Linked DNA regions of Caenorhabditis elegans. The protein of the gene in region 1 purifies or fractionates together with the protein of each later gene. This does not show direct contact. Each region holds a gene or a part of one and is shown in the gene's direction. Other genes may lie near its edges. The genes, in order: trm-2A and gfm-1.

What was found.
Region 2: the proteins of trm-2A (region 1) and gfm-1 fractionate together in Caenorhabditis elegans (co-fractionation; one large-scale study listed by BioGRID). This does not show direct contact.

The regions. Positions count from the first base shown.
Region 1 is NC_003283.11:901,902-911,598, forward strand, and holds the start of trm-2A (tRNA (uracil(54)-C(5))-methyltransferase), read left to right. Parts: upstream 1-3,061; 5' UTR 3,062-3,066; coding exon 3,067-3,212; intron 3,213-3,289; coding exon 3,290-4,048; intron 4,049-5,601; coding exon 5,602-5,827; intron 5,828-6,858; coding exon 6,859-7,350; intron 7,351-8,752; coding exon 8,753-8,835; intron 8,836-8,986; coding exon 8,987-9,092; 3' UTR 9,093-9,697. Other genes in the region: fmo-5 (Flavin-containing monooxygenase), read right to left, coding at 473-716, 763-857, 1,585-1,646.
Region 2 is NC_003280.10:13,114,503-13,123,418, forward strand, and holds gfm-1 (Elongation factor G, mitochondrial), read left to right. Parts: upstream 1-2,980; 5' UTR 2,981-2,990; coding exon 2,991-3,038; intron 3,039-3,093; coding exon 3,094-3,187; intron 3,188-3,245; coding exon 3,246-3,964; intron 3,965-5,074; coding exon 5,075-5,527; intron 5,528-6,371; coding exon 6,372-6,649; intron 6,650-6,707; coding exon 6,708-7,368; 3' UTR 7,369-7,514; downstream 7,515-8,916. Other genes in the region: rict-1 (RICTOR_N domain-containing protein), read right to left, coding at 209-493, 555-644, 1,619-1,885, 1,944-2,148, 2,206-2,299; bath-45 (BTB and MATH domain-containing protein 45), read left to right, coding at 8,536-8,648, 8,700-8,916. UniProt on the Caenorhabditis elegans protein: Mitochondrial GTPase that catalyzes the GTP-dependent ribosomal translocation step during translation elongation.

The DNA.
Region 1 (9,697 bases):
GGCTTTGGTTTGGATTTAGGCTTAGGCTTAGGCCTAGGCTTAGGCTGAGGCTGAGGACGAGGCTTAGGCTTATGCTAGGTTTTTTTTTTAAGTTTTTTTTAGTCTTGTTAGGCTTAGGCACAGGCATAGGCTGAGACTTAGGGTTATGCTGAGGATTAGGCTCAGACTTTGGCTTAGTTTTAGGTTTAGTCGTAGGCTTAGACTGAGGCTTAGGCTTAGGCTGAATCTTAGGCTCCGTCTTAGGCTTAGGCTTATGCTTACATCACGGCTATCGTTTTTGGTTTTTTTGTTGGAAAAAATGATTTTCTGGTTTTTCGGACCAAAAGTCGAAAAGTCAAAAAAAAATAGCAGCATATAAATTTTTTGTATTTCGTTAAAAGCTTGTACCTACTTCACACTGTACCTACATCATGCCTACCTCTGCGCCTGCCGCCTATTTGAAGCCGACAGACCTACAATTATGAAAACTTACTCATCAGTGTACCGAACCTTCCATTTTCCAGTGGTACTGTAATCATGATTTCTCTCAATCGAAACCACACTATGATTGAGCTTAATATGCTTCAGAAGCCCATAATGCTCGGCGTAGCTCTTCAAATATCTGCACATTTCTCTGTTATGCATGAAGTTTGCCATAGTGTCTTCCGGCGGGAAATCCGAATATGCGGTCATTTCTTTGGACGTATTGATTACAGTCGACTTCATAACGGTTGACACTGAGAAAAATTGAGCTTGAATTTTTGAGAAAAAAAATTGACTTACGGTCCGTTTGATCGGGCTTAAAGTTCCACAGTCCTCCGATATCTCCGGATTTTTCGAAGCAGGTCACTTCGACGTTTGGGTGAAGCAGGGCATGTCTGGAAAAAATAGAAGTTTCAGTTTTTTTTGCGCGTAAAATGTGGTGTACTGCAGCTGTGAACCTCACCGCAATGCACTATATTTTACGCGCAAACTATTACGGAAACGCCAAAATTTTAAGAATGCGTATTGGACAACATAATTGACGCGCAAAATATCTTGTAGCGAAAACTACAGTAATTTTTTAAATGACTACTGAAGCGCACACGTTGATTTACGAGCTCGATTTTTGAAAAGTGACAGCGATATTACATTTAACTGTGTTTCTTAAAGGAGGGCGCATTTATGAGAAAGGGTCTCGCCACGCGCCATTCATTGATTTTTGGAGTGCGTGGCGGGACCATTTCGAAAAAATGCGCCCTCCTTTAAGGTCGTACGAGTGAAGAAAAAATGCACTGTAATTTCAAATTTAAAAAAAATTATTGATAAATAAACTTAAAACAAGTAAAAAAGTGAGCCCGTAAATTGACACAAGCGCTACAGTAGGAATTTAAAGGATTACTGTAGTTTTCGCTACGAGATATTTTGCGCGTCAATTATGTTGTCTAATACGCATTCTCAAAATGTAGTGTTTTATCTATTTTTCTCTTCAAAATGAAGTTTTATATTCAGATTTTCACATTTTTAGGCAAAATTTCAAGAAATTTTTCATTTTTATCACAAGAAAAAAACGGTTAGGGTATAAAATTGGTATTGCCTCGCACTTCTAAAAGAGAACCCACATACCTGATAGACGGGAGCCCGGAGGCTCCGGCACCGACCACAAGAAGTTGTTTTTTGGCTACCATTGTCGAAAAAAAAATCGTTACGATTTGATAACAAAACTGTCTTTTCCCAACGTATTTATAGTGCGGTGGGGTGATCAATTTGGGTAGACTGGCTATAACGAGAGATATGGAGTCTGGTGAGAGACGCAGACAGCGAGGGACTACTCGTGTGGTGAACGTGTTTGATCATGGTGCATCAGACTAGAAAAAGGTTGTCTCGTGAACCTTTTTTAACCTTTATGGCTAGAATTTAGTTCAGTCACATTTTAAAAAAGCAAAAGTGTAATTTCATGGTCTCACAGCGATTGAGATATTAGTGTGAAAATTATTTTTAATGATTTTTTTCCCATTTTTCTTTTCTATTCAATCAATAATGACTATTTTTAACAACCAATTCTGCTCAAAAACTAGGCGATTTTTACTTTCTCAGGCCACCTGCGCCACAGCGCCTTTGAAACGGATTTCGATTTTAATTACTACAGTAATCTCTCATTGGAGCGCGCTTGCAAAATTTGCAGTTCTTTTAATTTTTATACCAATTGATTTGATGAAGTTGGCTCAGAAACAGAAGATGAAAAAATGGTTTTTAGAAGAAAAACAGTAAATAATATTTTCAGCGATAAAATTGGTGACAAAATTTAATTGTAAAGTTTGAAAATATTGAATTTTACGTGAATTCTCCTGTTGTGCTGAAAATACATCCTTGCGGGACAGATCAATGGAAAAAAGTGGTTAACATTTTGTTTATATTCAAATTTTAGACTAACCTAGGCTGACCTAGCCTACCCCAGGCTGACCTAGCCTACCCCAGGCTGACCTAGCCTACCCCAGGCTGACCTAGCCTACCCCAGGCAGGCCTATCCTACCCCAGGCAGGCCTAACCTACCCCAGGCAGACCTAGTCTACCCTAGGCAACCTACCCCAGGCAGGCCTAACCTACCCCAGGCAGGCCTAACCTACCATAGGCAGACCTAGTCTACCATAGGCAGACCTAGTCTACCATAGGCAGACCTAGTCCACCCTGGGCAGACCTAGTCTACCCTAGGCAGACCTAGTCCACCCTGGGCAGACCAATTTTCAATTCCGGCAATTTTCCGGTTTGCCGATTTGCCGGAAATTTCCAATTTCATCGACATTCTGAAGTAATATAGCTTAAACTCCACCAATACTGTTTATTTTATATCAGTTTTGCGTTCAAATTGTATCGAAAAAACTCCTTTTTAAACACCCTCCGTTTTAATTCTCAATAGAGCGCGCTTGCCGAAGAGGCGGTGTACTCCTCTCGGACACCTGCGATAATTGTTGTTTTTGATTTATATTCTAGATTTTCCCCGAAAAATTCCGGTTTTCCTTCTTTTTGAATGGTTTTTTACACTAAAAGTCGCATAAAAAAGCTTTAAAACCTTTAAAAATCGATAAATAATCAAGTTTTCCAGGTAAAATGGCGGATCCGGTCGATATTAAGACGGAAACTCCGGAGTTAACTCCAGAAGTCAAAGAAGAAAAGGCAATCGATTTGGATCGGATTCATATTAAGAATATCCCAACATTTATCGGATTCAAGCAGTTCAAGAAAGTATTGGAAAAGTGGGATTTTTTTTCGATTTTTTAATTAAAAAATTGATTTTTTAATTAAAAAAATTGATTTTTTTTCCTTTTTCCAGAATCCTCGGCGACGTAAAATCGAAAAAAGTGCGCCATATGTCAGATTACGCCTATGTGACGTTCGAAACCCCAGAGGACGCCCAAAAAGCTATAAATCTAGTCGATGGCTATGACTACAAGAAATTCATACTGTCAGCGCAGCTAGCAGCCACAGAAGTCAAATCTTTCCGTCCGGCTAACCCGGAAAATACCGAGCCAGCTCAGCAGAAAACCGCCCGTGAAAGTGTAACTCCGCTCGCCGAGATGGAATACGGGAAGCAGTTGGAGTTGAAGCAGCAGAATAGTGTGGGCGTCGTTGAAAAGTTGTACCGGCAGCTAATTCAGAATAAAGTTGCACATTTGGGCAAACAGACTCAATTCCGAGATCGTGTTCTTCGGGAAATTCTCCCCGCACCGAAAACCGCCGGTTATCGAAATAAATGTGAATTTACAATTGGTCACGATTTGAATGGAGAAATTTGCGTGGGATTCGTCGGCGGAAGATTCTCGAAAAATCAGCATTTTGTGATACCGCCCGTCGACGTGGATATTGTCAGCACACAGATGATGGCGATCGTTGGGGATGTGCATGAATTTGTGAAAGAATCGGCGTTGGAGCCATTTAATGAGTTTGATAGGAAAGGATTCTGGCGGATGCTGACGATTCGGGAATTTGGAGGAGATGTTATGCTGATTTTTACGGTTTTTCCGCTGGAGGATGGCGTGGAGAGGATGGAAGAGATTCAGAAGAAGATTGAGACGAGATTTTTGGATTTTGAGTGCGATTTTCTCATTTTTTAGGAAAATTTCCAATTTTTCAGAAGAAAAATGACCAAAATTGAAAATTTTATGTTTGAAACAAAAAAAAATCGATTTTTTCGTCAAACGCACAAAATTTCTCATTTCATTGATATAAAAATGTGGAAAAAAGTGCGTTCTAACTGAAAATAACATTTATTTCTGTTAAAAAACTTATAAATGCCTCAAATAGTCTATTTTTGGTCTTTTCAAGCTTTTCAACAAAAATAAATGCTATTTTCAGTTAGAATGGACCATTTTCTATGTTTTTATATGAATTTTTGAAGAACTTTTAAGTTTCTGAAAATTCCCGGAAAAAATATTTGAAAATCTTCTTACAAACTTTTTTTTTGCAACTTTTTCACGGAAAATATGCAAATTTACCATAAAATTCAATTTTTATCAACCAAAAGTTTGAAATATGTTTCAAAAAATCGAAATTTTTTGTTTTTTCCAACAAAAATTTGTAATTTTTGCAGAAAAAAAAACAGAAAATTTAACAAAAAATTGCTTTGGAAAAAACCGAAAATTTCAGAAAAAAAACCGTCTATTACAGGATCACAAAATTCTGAAAATGCGTACTGGGCAACATATTTGACGCGCAAAATATCTCGAAGCGAAAACTACATTAATCTTTTTAAGGACTACTGTAGCGCTTGTGTCGATTTACGGGCTCGATTTTCGAAAATATTTTCTTGTGAGTTTTGACGAATATTTAAAAAAAAAGTGAAAATCGCTAAGAAAACGGTTTCGAAAATCGAGCCCGTAAATCGACACAAGCACTACAGTAGTCATTTAAAAGATTACTGTAGTTTTCGCTACGAGATATTTTGCGCGTCAAATATGTTGCAAAATACGCATTCTCAGAATTTTTGTGTTTCCGTGTTCAAATGGATCAGGTTTGTAACGACATTTTCAAATAATTTTTCGGGAATTTTCTGAAATTTATAAATTCTCTCAAAACTCATATAAAAATGTAGAAAAAGGTTCGTTTCAACTGAAAATATTATTAATTTTCGTTGAAAAGCTTGAAAAATGCCTCAAATAGCCTATTTGTGGTTTTTTTAAAGCTTTCACACAAAAATTAATGTTATTTTCAGTTGGAACGAACCTTCTTCTGCCTTTTTATATGAGTTTGAAGATAATTTTTGAATTTCAGAAAATTCTCGAAAAATTATTGGAAAATCTGCTTACAAACCTGGTTCGATTTAACACAAAACCAAAAAATTATGAAAGTGCGTACTGGGCAACATATTTGACGCGCAAAATATCTCGTAGCGAAAACTACAGTAATCCGTTAAATGACTACTGTAGCGTTTGTGTCGATTTACGGGCTCGATTTCCGAATTGTTTTTTTTTTTCGAAAGTCAAGCCCGTTAATCGACACAAGCGCTACAGTAGTCGTTTAACGGATTACTGTATTCTTCGCTACGAGACCCTATTTTGCGCGTCAAATGTGTTGTGCAATACGCATTCTCAGAATTTTTGTGCTCCCGTAATACAATCAAAAACCCCATACCTTAAAATTTTTCAGAACATTCAAGGAGAAAAAGTACCGAGTGTGTAGTATCTATTGGCAACAAATGGTTCATATCAGTGATACACCGAACTTCAAGCTGATCGGTGGAACTCCGTACATTTATGAATCTCTGTTGGACTGCCGATTCCGAGTATCACCGCCAGCGTTTTTCCAGACGAATAGCCAGGCGGCGGCGGTTCTCTACTCGACGATTGGAGAGCATTGTGGGCTCAGTGAAAAGGTTCTTGAAGAATCTGCGATTTTATTATTGAAAAGCGCATTAAAAATGCCGAGAAAACGCGCTCCACGGCCAATTGAATACGCCCCGCCCCCAAGCCAAGGGTCTCGTTAGGTTTTCAGTGATTTTCGCTGTTTATTTGGTGTTTTAAATGAATTTTGTGTCAAAAATAATGAAATCAATTTTTTAACAGGATTTTACATGATTTCCACCTAGAAATTATTATTTTTAATGATTTTCTGCAGAAAATAATAATTTTTACTAAAAATCAATATTTTTCTATGATTTTTACCCAAAAAATCAGGTTTTTTTCTATTAATTTTGCCTAAAAATCATTATTTTAAATTTTTTCCCCAGAAAAGCTTTTCTTTCCATAAAACCAGAATTATTCTATGATTTTCACCCATAGAATCAGTATTTTTAACTAAAATCAGAATTTAAACATTTAGGATTCCCCGATGATTTCTACCCGAAAAATCAATATTTTTCAATAATTTTTACCCGAAAAATCAGGTTTTTTAATGTTTTTCCCAGAAAATCATAATTTTTACCTGAAAACTAGGATTTTTGATGATTTTCACTCAAAAATCAGCATCTTCATTAATTTCATCAATTTCAGCAAAAAAATCATTAAAAACCACTGAAAAAATGACAAAAAATGCTTGAAAATTGGCGAAAATTTCCGGTTTTCCCGCCAAAAAAATCAAAATATTGATTTTTAGTAAAAATTATTATTTTCTGCAGAAAATCATCAAAAATAATAATTTTAGGTGGAAATCATGTAAAATCCTGTTGAAAAATTGATTTCATTATTTTTGACACAAAAATAATTTAAAACATTAAATAAATAACGAAAATCACTGAAAACCTAACGAGACCCATGGCTTGGGGGCGGAGCTTTTTCAATTCGCTGTGGAGCGCGTTCACACGCCGAATTTTGAAAAATGCTCAAAAATTTCAATTGTTTCTTAATTTTTGACTGAAAATCTGCAAAATCGATGAAATAAAAAGTGAAAATAGTTTTTTTTCTCCAGAAAACCAACGAAGATGTTCCAGTGGAAACTGATGCATCGGAAAAAGCCCCAGAAGCTCCAGCAGCACCTTCAGAGCCCATCCCCGACGATCCATCCGATGCTCCTCCGGCAAAGATCCCGAGAATCGAGCCGGAGCCCACTGCAGCAGATGAAGCACCTGCTCCAGAAGATCCCGGAACCATCCTTCTTGACATTTGCTGTGGAACCGGAACGATCGGTCAATGCCTTCTGAAAAATATTCAAAAATCGCAAAAAGTGTGCTGCATCGGAATTGAAATGATCGCCGAAGCGGTGGAGGACGCCAAACAAAATGCGAAACAGAATAAAATGGAAACATGCTGTAAATATATTGCTGGAAAAGCCGAGGACACATTCCGATCGATGAGATATCATCTGCCGAATGGTTTTGATCTACGAAAATCGAGAGTGGTCGGAGTGCTCGATCCACCGAGAGCCGGAATGCACGAGAAGGTTATTCTCGCGTGTAGAGAGGTTCGAATATTTGGATTTTAGAAATTCCAAAAATTACCTTTAAAACTTGTAGATTTACGCGTAAATTTTTTTAAAAATAGGAATCGAGGGTGTTCGTTTTTCGATTTTTTAAAAAATTATTTTATCGTTGTTTCGATTTATCAAAAATTAGCTTAACATTTTGGCTATTATTCTTCTTTTTAGAAGAAATTGTTATGTTTTTTCTTACCAATATAATCAATTTTTTTAAATCATAGTTTATGGTTAATTTTCTGAACATTTTTTTCGATTTTTCAATTTTCACTGAAAAACATCAACAAATCTTTAAAAAATGCCGCTTTTGATAGGAATATATTATTCAGACGCGAAATTTCGGGGTTTTCGCGACTTCCCGGTCTCGACACGACAAATTTTTGCGTGCGCCTTTAAAGGTGGTGTACCGAAATCTGAAAAAAAATTTCAAATGACTCCAAATTTTCACCTGATTCCGAATAATTATGTTAAAAAATCCGAAAAAAATTTCCCAGATGTTATATTACCGCTTGAAATCGAGAATTTTCGCGCCAGAGACGCCATATGTCGATTTACGAGATTTGTGTATATTTACGAAATGTTTATTTTATATCGGATGCTGTTTTTCGTTTTTCAATGAGTTTTCTTCGTTTTCGGCGGTTTTTTGTTTGGAAATGTATGTTTTAAGGTCAATTGAACATTCTTTTTAATCAAAAAATTAGAACATTTTCCATAAAAAATTTTTGCTCGTTTTTTTGATACGAAAATGTTTAATTGACCTGAAGAAACACATTTTCGAAAAAAAAACCGCCGAAAATTAAGGAAATTCATTGAAAAAAAAGGAAATCAGCATCGGATAAAGATTAAACATTTCGTAAATATACACAAATCTCGTAAATCGACACGTGACGTCTCTGGCGCAAAAATTCTCGATTTCAAGCTGAAATATAAAATCTGGGAAATTTTTTTTTTTAATTTTTTAATCATAAATATTCGTAATCAGTGGAAAATTTGAAATCTGAAAATATTTTGATAATATTTTCCAGATTTCAGTACCAAGGGTGTCAGTTTATCGAATAAGAAAAAGTTGAAAAACGAAAATTTTTCGATTTTCAAAAATTAGCTTAAAAATTTGTTTAAAAGTTTTTTCGATTTTCCCACGTGGGGTGTCAGAGTGTCCCACATCGGTGTGATCTACAAGAAATGCGGGAATTCCGACGCGCTGACTTCTCAACACATTTCTTATGGTTAAGAGCGAGATGACGTCACATTTTTCTGAGAAAAAATTCCCGCATTTTTTGTAGATCACACCGATATGGGACACTCTGGCACCACGTGCTTTTCGGTTTTTCGAAAGAAAAAACCGGCAGTCCTGGCCTGTAACACCTGAAAACGGTTTTTTTTGCTCCAGATGGAAACAATGCGTCGTCTGATCTTTGTCTCGTGTGAACCAAACGCCGCCATCTCCAACATCGTGAATCTGTGCCGTCCGTCGTAAGTGTATTGCACACACCTAGCACAGTCTTATCTCACTACAATCTAAATGTGATAAGACTGTGTGTTTTTCTCTCCGTCTCCCTATCTCTCTCTCTCTCTCTCTCTCTCTCTCTCTCTCTCTCTCTCTCTAAAACCAATTCATTTATAGGTCTCGAAAATACACTGGAGACGCGTTTTCGGTGACCCGTGTGCAGCCGGTCGACATGTTCCCGCAGACGAATCATATGGAGTGGATTATTCAATTGGATCGTTAATTTTTGCAATTTTATTGTTGTTTTTTTTTCGTTGTTAAATTTTATATTATAGAAGCGCAGAAAAATGCCTTTTTTTTGAAGTTGGCGAGGAAACGCGCTCCACGGAGAACGGGTCTTGTTGGGTATTTTTCGTTGTTTTCTTGATTTCTATGCCAAAATTGATGTAAAAATTGATTTTCAACCGAAAATTAATTTTCAAAACTCCATTTCGACCTGAAAATCATGATTTTCAGGTCGAAATGGGGTTTTAAAAATTAATTTTCAGTTGAAAAATCAATTATTTTCACTAATTTTGGCATAAAAATTAAGAAAACAACGAAAATGCCACAAAAATAATGTCTTTTAAGTTTTACAATTTACAAGGTTTTTCCATGAATTTCGGCTTAAAAATTAATAAAAATGCTTGAAAATCGATGGGTTTTCCGCCAAATACCTAATGAGACCCATTGGCTGTGGAGCGCGTTTTCACACCGAATGCATTTTTAAAATTTTCTGCGTCCTCGTAATATGCATTGTTTTGTTTTTTTTTATTTTAAATTTTCCAATTGTGCAAGTGCGTTCTACTGGAATAATCTTTGTTTTTTTGCTAAATTTGAAAAAAAATT
Region 2 (8,916 bases), on another chromosome or scaffold:
TAGAATATTTTTTTAACCATTTTTTTAAATTTATTCTGAAATTTTTAGATTTTTTCGAATTTATTCTGAGATTTTTAGATTTTTCCGCATTTTTTGCATTTTTTGACATTTTTCGAAATTTTTCGACATTTATTTTGAATTTTTTGCATTTTTTCGCATTTTTCTACATCACATGATTAACCCCATATATAGGAATGCTAGAGCTTACGCATTATCATTCGTAAGCATACTTCCTCTTTTCTGGAACAATCCGAATTCCACCAGAGGTGCGAAGATCTGCTCCATCACCAAATCCAAATGCGCTTTGATCCGAATCGTCGGAGAATCAAGCCACGAGATCAGAACATGTGATGCAAGGAGCACAATTCGTCGGCTCATACAAGAAACTCCAGTTAATGCTTTTACAAGCCAATCTGTTCCGGCCATTTCTAGGACTAATAGCGGTTCGGTTAAGCTGAACTCCAGGAAAAGGCCGACGCACGGGAGGGTTAATCTAAAAATTGGAAAATTTATTAATTTTTTTCAACGGGAAATCGAATCCAATCCAGGCTTACTTGTCTTTTCCCGTAGTCTGTTGACCTTCAAATGCTGACAATGCGATGGAGATGATGGGTTGCATGATGGACTTGGGGAATGCATATTTTCTGAAAAAAAAAGAATGCGTATTGCACAGAATATTTGACGCGCAAAATATCTCGTAGCGAAAAACTACAGTAATTCTTGAAATGACTACTGTAGCGTCTGTGTCGATTTACGGGCGATTTTCTCCCGTAAATCGACACAAGCGTTACAGTAGTCATTTCAAGAATTACTGTAGTTTTCGCTAAGAGATATTTTGCGCGTCAAAAGATTTAGGTACATTTCGATGTGCCAACCGAAAAAGAAAACCGATTATTTTTAAATATTCAGTGCAAAATTGAAAAAAAAAATTTTTAACTTTAGATTTTCCCAAAATCTACAGCTTTTTCTAGAATTTTTCAGATTTTTACAGAAAATTTTGTATCATTTTTTTTCAGATTTTCAAGTTTTTTTTTGGAATTTTTCTGGAATTTTTCAAGTTTTTCAAGCTTTTTTAAAATTCATTTTGAAATTTTCAGAGTTTTTTGAATTTATTCTGAAATTTTTCAGGTTTTTCAAGAGTTTTTTAAAAAGATTATTTTGAATTTATTCCGAAATTTTTAGATTTTTTTTGAATTTATTCTAAAATTTTTAGAGTTTATTTTTAACACTTATTCTGAAATTTTTAGAGTTGTTTAAATTTATACTGAAATTTTTAAATTTTTTTAACATTTATTCTAAAATTTTTAAACTTTTAAAAAATTACTTCTGGAGATTTTCAGATTTTTTAAAGTTTTCCACCGAAAATTCTGAGTTTTTACAAAAAAAAATCACAAACACCATTATAAAATCAGATTTTAACGTACAAATGTTCTGCAACTTTTCAGATTTATTCTGCAACGACCAGATTTGATAAAAAATTTATTTAAAATATCTCTTTGGTGATTTCAAAAAATTTAGTTTCCCGCCGCTTGTCAAGCCGGCTAAATTCCAAATTTTACCAAATTTTGTGAATTTTCGATCATTTTTTTCCAGAAAATTGAAGTTAAATTTAGCATACTTTCCGTTTTTCTGCGCCGCCGAGGAGTCTATCAGCTTCTTGAGATTGGATTTCTCGTAGATTTTAAGCATCCAAATAATTAACTTGAAAGCTTCCAATCGTTCCGTTTGATTTTCCATTTGTAAATCAATTGCGCGAACGATAAAAATATCCACGTGAGTTGTAAGGATTACAACTAGATTCCGCTCGTTTATCGTACATTTTCGAACCATATGGAAGCACATTGCACGGATACACGGGTGATCGTCGGGTAGGAATTTTAACACTCTGAAAAATGGGGAATTTTTATTATATGTTAAATCTCAGATTAGTTTTCACAACTTACAACTGACAAATATCCTCAAAAAACTCGTTATCCGTCAGCGATTCCACTGTGGTTTCCAAAATCGTCCTGGAAATTCCATTCAAAAATTCACATTTCTCTTCGTAAGTTGCTTTTGTGTACGAATCGGCGCCTCGGATCAGTTTCTGCACATCTTCACGGGCTCGGAATCTTTCTCGTCGTTTTTCACTGGTTTCGCTTACTTTTTCTGGAAAATTTTAATATTAAAATGCTCATCATAATTCAAGCTGAAAAAAAAACTAACTAGCTCGAGTTTTGACTCTGATGCTCTCCCGGATTTCCTGTATCCTCTGTGTATTGTTTTCGCCTCTGTGATACACTTTTCGACGAGTGTCCATCGCCTGAAAATTGAAATTTTTCATGAAAATAGCGGGGGAAACGAGACAGGACACGGGGAAAAAGTACTGCAATTGATAAGAATAGTGGAATTAGAGAGAGCAGAAAAGTGGTTAAATATGCTCTTTCGCTCGGCCACCGGGTTACTGTAGCTAGCTGCGTAGGAAATAATAGAAATAATATATTTCCGTCGAAAAGAGTATTTAAAAGATTATTTCTTTCAGTTAAAACCCGTTATTTCAACATTATTTAATGATGCAATACCACATTGCTGGTTACAAAGCGTTTTTCAAATTTCCAATAAACAAAAACATGAAATTCTTGGAAAACTCTGCATTTCTCAAGCAACTCGAAATAAATCAATATTAAAACTTGATGATTCTGTTCTTTTCTTTACTAAAAATTGAAAAAACGAACGGAAAACAACGAGAGAGTTCTTTAAAAAATATATAAGAAATATCTGAAAGTCGAGTGAGAAAAACATGTTTTTTTGGAAGAGCGACTGCCCCGAAATGCTAGGCCACGCGTCGCGTACTCCTCTCGGATAACGATTTTATGGCATCATTTTTTGTTAATTAATAAAATTAAACGTTTTAAATGCACTTTTCCAATATTATTTTTATTTTAAAAATTTAAAAATTATTTAAGTGAAAATCTTTGAAAATTTAACATCTAAACTTCAGGTAATACACAATGAGTCCTCTCGGGAGGTTCTCTGCAGTGGCGCAAAGCCGTCGGCAGGTAATTTATTTATTTTTAAATTATTTTAATAGTTTTTTTTAAATGAATTTTTCAGCTAAACAACGTCCTCCGACGATTCGCATCCAACGAAGCGCCGTCGTCCGTCGTCGTACCAGGAGTCCGGCCAATTGAACGAATCAGAAATATTGGTTTGGCGTTTAATCCTAATTTTTGATCAAAATCTTGATTTAAAACACAAATTTCCAGGTATTTCTGCTCATATTGATTCGGGAAAGACGACTGTCACAGAAAGAATCTTGTATTATGCCGGAAGAATCGACTCGATGCACGAAGTTCGCGGAAAAGACGACGTCGGAGCCACAATGGATTTTATGGATCTCGAACGACAGCGGGGGATCACTATTCAGTCGGCGGCTACCTATGTGGATTGGCACGGAACTAATATTAATATTATTGATACACCAGGCCACGTGGATTTCACAGTTGAAGTCGAGCGGGCTCTTCGTGTTCTCGATGGAGCCGTACTTGTTCTGTGCGGAGTTGGAGGTGTCCAGTCGCAAACGTTCACTGTTAATCGTCAACTGGCTCGCTACAATGTTCCGTTCATCTGTTTCGTGAATAAAATGGATCGGAATGGAGCGACTCCTCTGAAAGCTCTAGATGGCCTCCGGAATAAATTGAACCATAACGCGGCGCTCATTCATTTACCAATTGGGAAAGACTCAAATTTCAATGGAATCGTCGATTTGGTAGAAGGACACGCGTTGTATTATGAGGGTGAAGGTGGACTTATTGTGAGAAAGGACGAGATTCCAAAGGATTTGAGGGTGGAAGCAGAAGATAGACGTCAGGAGCTCATTGAGCATATTGCCAATGTTGATGAGACTCTTGGAGAAATGTTCTTGAACGATCAGACGCCAAATGTTCAACAGATTCATGAAGCTATTAGAAGAACTGTTGTCAAGGTTGAATAATTATTAAAGCGCGCTTGCTATCAGATTATTCAGATTTACTCGTGGTGCTAATATGTCCCATTACGGTTTGATCTACAAAAAATGCGGGAATAAAAATGCACAAAACCAAAGAAAAAACATTTTTTATCCACTAAAAATTTCAAAAATCACCAGCTTTTTTCTAGAATTTTTCAAATTTTCTCTGGAAATTTTCTATCGTTTTTTTTTAATTTTCAGAATTGTTAAGATTTTTTTTGTATTTATTCTGATATTGTTAGATTTTTTTTTTTGAAAAAAATCTAAAAATTTCAGAATAAATTCTGAAAAATATAAAAAAATTCAAAAAAATCTTTTAAAAAATTCAGAAAAGTTCAAAAAAATCTAAAAATTCCATTTTTTTTTCCTGGAATTTTTCAGATTTTTAAAAATTTATTCTGAAATTTTTAGATTTTTTAAAAATTTTCTCTGGAAATTTTCTATCGTTTTTTTTTAATTTTCAGAATTGTTAAGATTTTTTTTGAATTTATTCTGAAATTGTTAGATTATTTTTTGACAAAAAATCTAAAAATTTCAGAATAAATTCAGAAAAAATATTAAAAAAATTCAGAAAAATTAAAAAAAATCTTTTAAAAAATTCAGAAAAATTCTAAAAAAAATCTAAAAATTCCATTTTTTTCCCTGGAATTTTTCAGATTTTTTTCGAATTTTTTCTGTAATATGGTTTGACTTTGAAGAAATCAACGAGATTTTTCTTATTTTCTAAATATTTTTCTATTAAAAATCGGTTTTTAACAATTTTTGACCCTAATGTTAAGTCAAAAATGTATTAAAACCGATTTTTTATAGCGAAATATTTAGAAAATAGGAAAAATCCCGTTGATTTCTTCCAGTGGACGAAAACGCTTAATTTTAGTCATTTTAAATTCGATTTTCACTGTTTAACAATAGGTTTTGTTCGCAAAATGCAGAAACAAAAAACAATTTTGAAGCTAAAAATTTGATAATTCTGCCATTTTCAGTGGAAAGACAAAACTCCGCGGATGCAGAATAGCGAAGCGTAGCAAGAGCGTGCATAACAATAAACTTGAACAAAAAATTAATAAAATCAATATTTTGTTCCAGCGTGCATTCGTCCCAGTCCTCTCCGGATCCGCTTTAAAGAACAAAGGAGTTCAAACAATGATCAATTCCGTCGTCAAATACCTTCCAGATCCATCTGAAGTCGTTAACAGAGCCACTGTAAAAACGGAAACCACCGGAGATGAAAAAGGAATCATTCTCTCGCCAAAACGAAACAATGATAAGCCATTCGTCGGGCTTGCCTTCAAGCTGGAAGCAGGAAAGTACGGCCAACTCACCTATTTCCGAGTCTACCAGGGACAATTAAGCAAAGGAGACACTGTTTATGCATCGAGAGACGGTAGAAAAGTACGTGTGCAGAGATTGGTTCGGATGCATGCTGCTGATATGGAAGAGATCACTACTGCTTATGCTGGAGATATTTGTGCGACTTTTGGACTTGACTGCCATTCTGGAGAGACTTTTTCGACGGATCAGAATCTTGCTCCGCATTGTGTAGGTTTTGATGCTTCACTGCAACTTTTTTCGAACGAGGGACGAGGCAAAAAGGTTTCTTGGCCATGGCCGAGTCCCCGACAAATTTCAGCGGCCATTTATCTTGCTTTGTTTTCTGCGTGTTTTATTTCGTTTTTCACCGATTTTTTCCGTTTTTTCTTATCAAAACTAATAAATAAATATTTTTTGCAGATGCTAAAACAATTTCCAAGTGAAAAAATTGTGAATTCAGTCGGCAAGTAGCGGTAAAAGTGGTCAATGTAATATGATGGATTACGGGAATAAAAAACCCAAACTTTTTCCCAAACGTGATACATATGCTGTTTAGATGCTAAAAGTACCTGATTTTCATAACGAGACCGCTGAAAAAGTTTTGAGATTTTCAAAATTCAACTTTTTTTGTGAAAAAGTCGAGATTTTGGCACAAAATGTTGAATTTTGAAAATCTCAAAACTTTTTTAGCTGTCTCGTTATGAAAATCAGGTAGCTTCAGCATTTAAGCAGCATATGTATCATGTTTCAGAAAAAGTTTGGGTTTTGTATAGCCGTAATCCATCATATTACATTGCCCACTTTCACTGCTACTTGCCGACTGAATTCACAATTTTTTCACTTGGAAATTGTTTTAGCATCTGCAAAAAATATTTATTTATTAGTTTTGATATGAAAAAACGGAAAAAATCGGTGAAAAACGAAAGAAAACACGCAGAAAACAAAGCAAAATAAATGGCCGCTGAAATTTGTCGGGGACTCGGCCATGGCCTAGAAACCTTTTTGCCTCGTCCCTCGTTCGAAAAAAGTTGCAGTGCATGCTTTTTGCCTTAATAATATTAAAAATTTCCAGGAATCAATGCACATCCCGGAGCCAGTTATCTCGATGGCCATCAAACCAGTAAACCGAAAAGATGCCGACAATTTTATTAAGGCGCTGACGCGATTCACAAAGGAAGATCCAACATTCCGACGAGAATATAATCAAGAAGCGAAGGAAACGATTGTTTCTGGAATGGGAGAGCTTCATTTGGAAATTTATGCTCAGCGTATGAAGAGTGAATATAATTGTCCTGTGGAGCTGGGAAAACCTACAGTTGCATACAGAGAGTGCTTGGGTAGCCCTTATAAGTGAGTGAAAAAAAACATTTAAAAAAAATATATATATAAATGAAATTTCAAATTGCAGATTCCACTTCCGTCACAAAAAACAAACCGGAGGACAGGGACAATTCGGAGAAATCGAAGGAGTCATTGATCCACTACCATCTGATCGCAATACTGTCGTTGAATTCTCCGACGAGACATTCGGAAACAATATCCCGAAGAATCTGTTCCCGGCTCTCAAGAAGGGTCTCGACGCGATTGTCGCCGAGGGTCCACTTATCAAGTCTAGAATCGCTGGAATTCATGTTCGGATCCAAGATGGTTCAACTCATGCTGTAGACTCCACGGAAATCGCTATGATCAATACAATGCAAAACATGATGCGTGAATCATTCGAAAAAGCGAATTGGCTGCTCCTCGAGCCAATTATGAAAGTAGAAGCTACAGTTCCAACGGAATTCCAGGGAAATGTAGTGACATCACTCACCCAGAGAAATGCACTGATCACCACCACCGATTCGACGGAAGGATACGCGACTGTGATCTGTGAAGCTCCACTGTCGGACATGTTCGGATACACTTCAGAGCTACGATCGTTAACGGAAGGAAAAGGAGAATTCAGTATGGAATATTCAAGATATGCACCTACAACACTGGAAGCTCAAGATCGAGTACAAGCAGAGTGGAGGCAGTTGCATGGAATTGCTGATCCGAATGAGAAGGGAAAGAAGAAGAAGAAGTAGATCTGTTAATTTAGGGTTTTTTCATGTTCTGTAGATTAGTTTTTTTTTACTCTTGTTTTGTTGTTTTCATTCATTTGTTAAGATTTTTAGATCATTCATTAAATTTTTGCGAGCTTTTGTATTTTAATATGAAAAATTCAAAATTCAGAAACACTACAAACAATTGTGATGGATCAGACCTATTGGGCCGTTCCGCAGATCGACAAATTGCCAATTTGCCGGATTTAAAGATTCTTTATTTGAACTATTTGAAATTATTATTAATTAATCGATTTGAAGTTTGAAGTGGTAGGATTATTTCATCGTCAGATATCCTTCGTACCAGCAGTACTGGGCCAAGATCCGAAATTGATCACCTGAAAGTTATTCATATAAGTTTCTATTAACTAGACGTCTAAAAATGAGAATTATCGCCAGAAATGGGTCTCGCCACGAAACGAGTGACTGTAACTCGTTTCGATTTATGGGTCGCTATTGAATCATTTTTTCGAAAAAGCAATTTTCCATTTAATTTATAAGAAAACTGATGGAATAGCGGCGCAAAAATCGACACCAGTAATTTCTACAGTAACCCGTTGTCCGCGTGGCGAGACCCAAAATCCTCAAATTTATTTTTTTTTTTTACGTATTAGCTTCAAAATTGTTTTTTTTTCTGCATTTTGCGAACAAAACCTTTTGTTAAACCTACGCCTAAACATGAACCTGAGAAGAAGGCTAAGCCGAGGCCTAAGCCAAATAATATCTGTTTCAATAAAAGTGTATTATTATCAAAGAGAATTCCAATAAAAATTAATTGAAATCGGAAAATAATTCCTCAAAAACTACAGTAGACGAACTACGGTAGACGACGAAGTACGTAATGCACACAATGCATTCTAAATGACGAGCAAACTGTTTTGATGCAATTTCGTTTATTTTTTCTCACTTTTCAGTGAAATTTCAAGCGTTTTTATCAGAAAAATGTTGGTAAATTCAAGAAAAGTGTTTTTTGAAACTTTTAACAAGCTGATAATTTTACTATGTAGTTCAATTTTGAGACAATTTTTCTGATTTTCACTCGCTTCGTTGATTTCAGAGCTGCATTGAATGAAATTCTCTGAATTTTGTCAAATTGTTGCTTATTTTCTTCTCAACTTCAAATGTTTTAAATTTCAGAAAATTCTTTTCATGGCCGCTGCTCACAAGGTATTCGAGCTTTCGCACGTTTTCAAGGACGTTTCAAAAATAGGAGATGACGAGTCTGTGTGCAGTCCAAATGAAGATTATTTTGGTGTTCCCTGGTCAGTTAAATATGAGTAATATGCGATAAACCCTCAATTTATAAATTTCAGGAAAATCGTTCTTCGTCACAAAGATGAAAAAATGGGTGTCTTCCTCAGTTGTGAAAAACCGTCAAACAATGATGCTCATTGCATTGTGAATGTAGTCTACTCTGTGAAACTCATGTCTTCTTCAGGCGTATGCTATATAAAATCTGATTCAAAGCTATTCGGAGAAATAACAGAACATGGATGGGTGAATTTCGTGAATTGGAACACGATGGTTGAT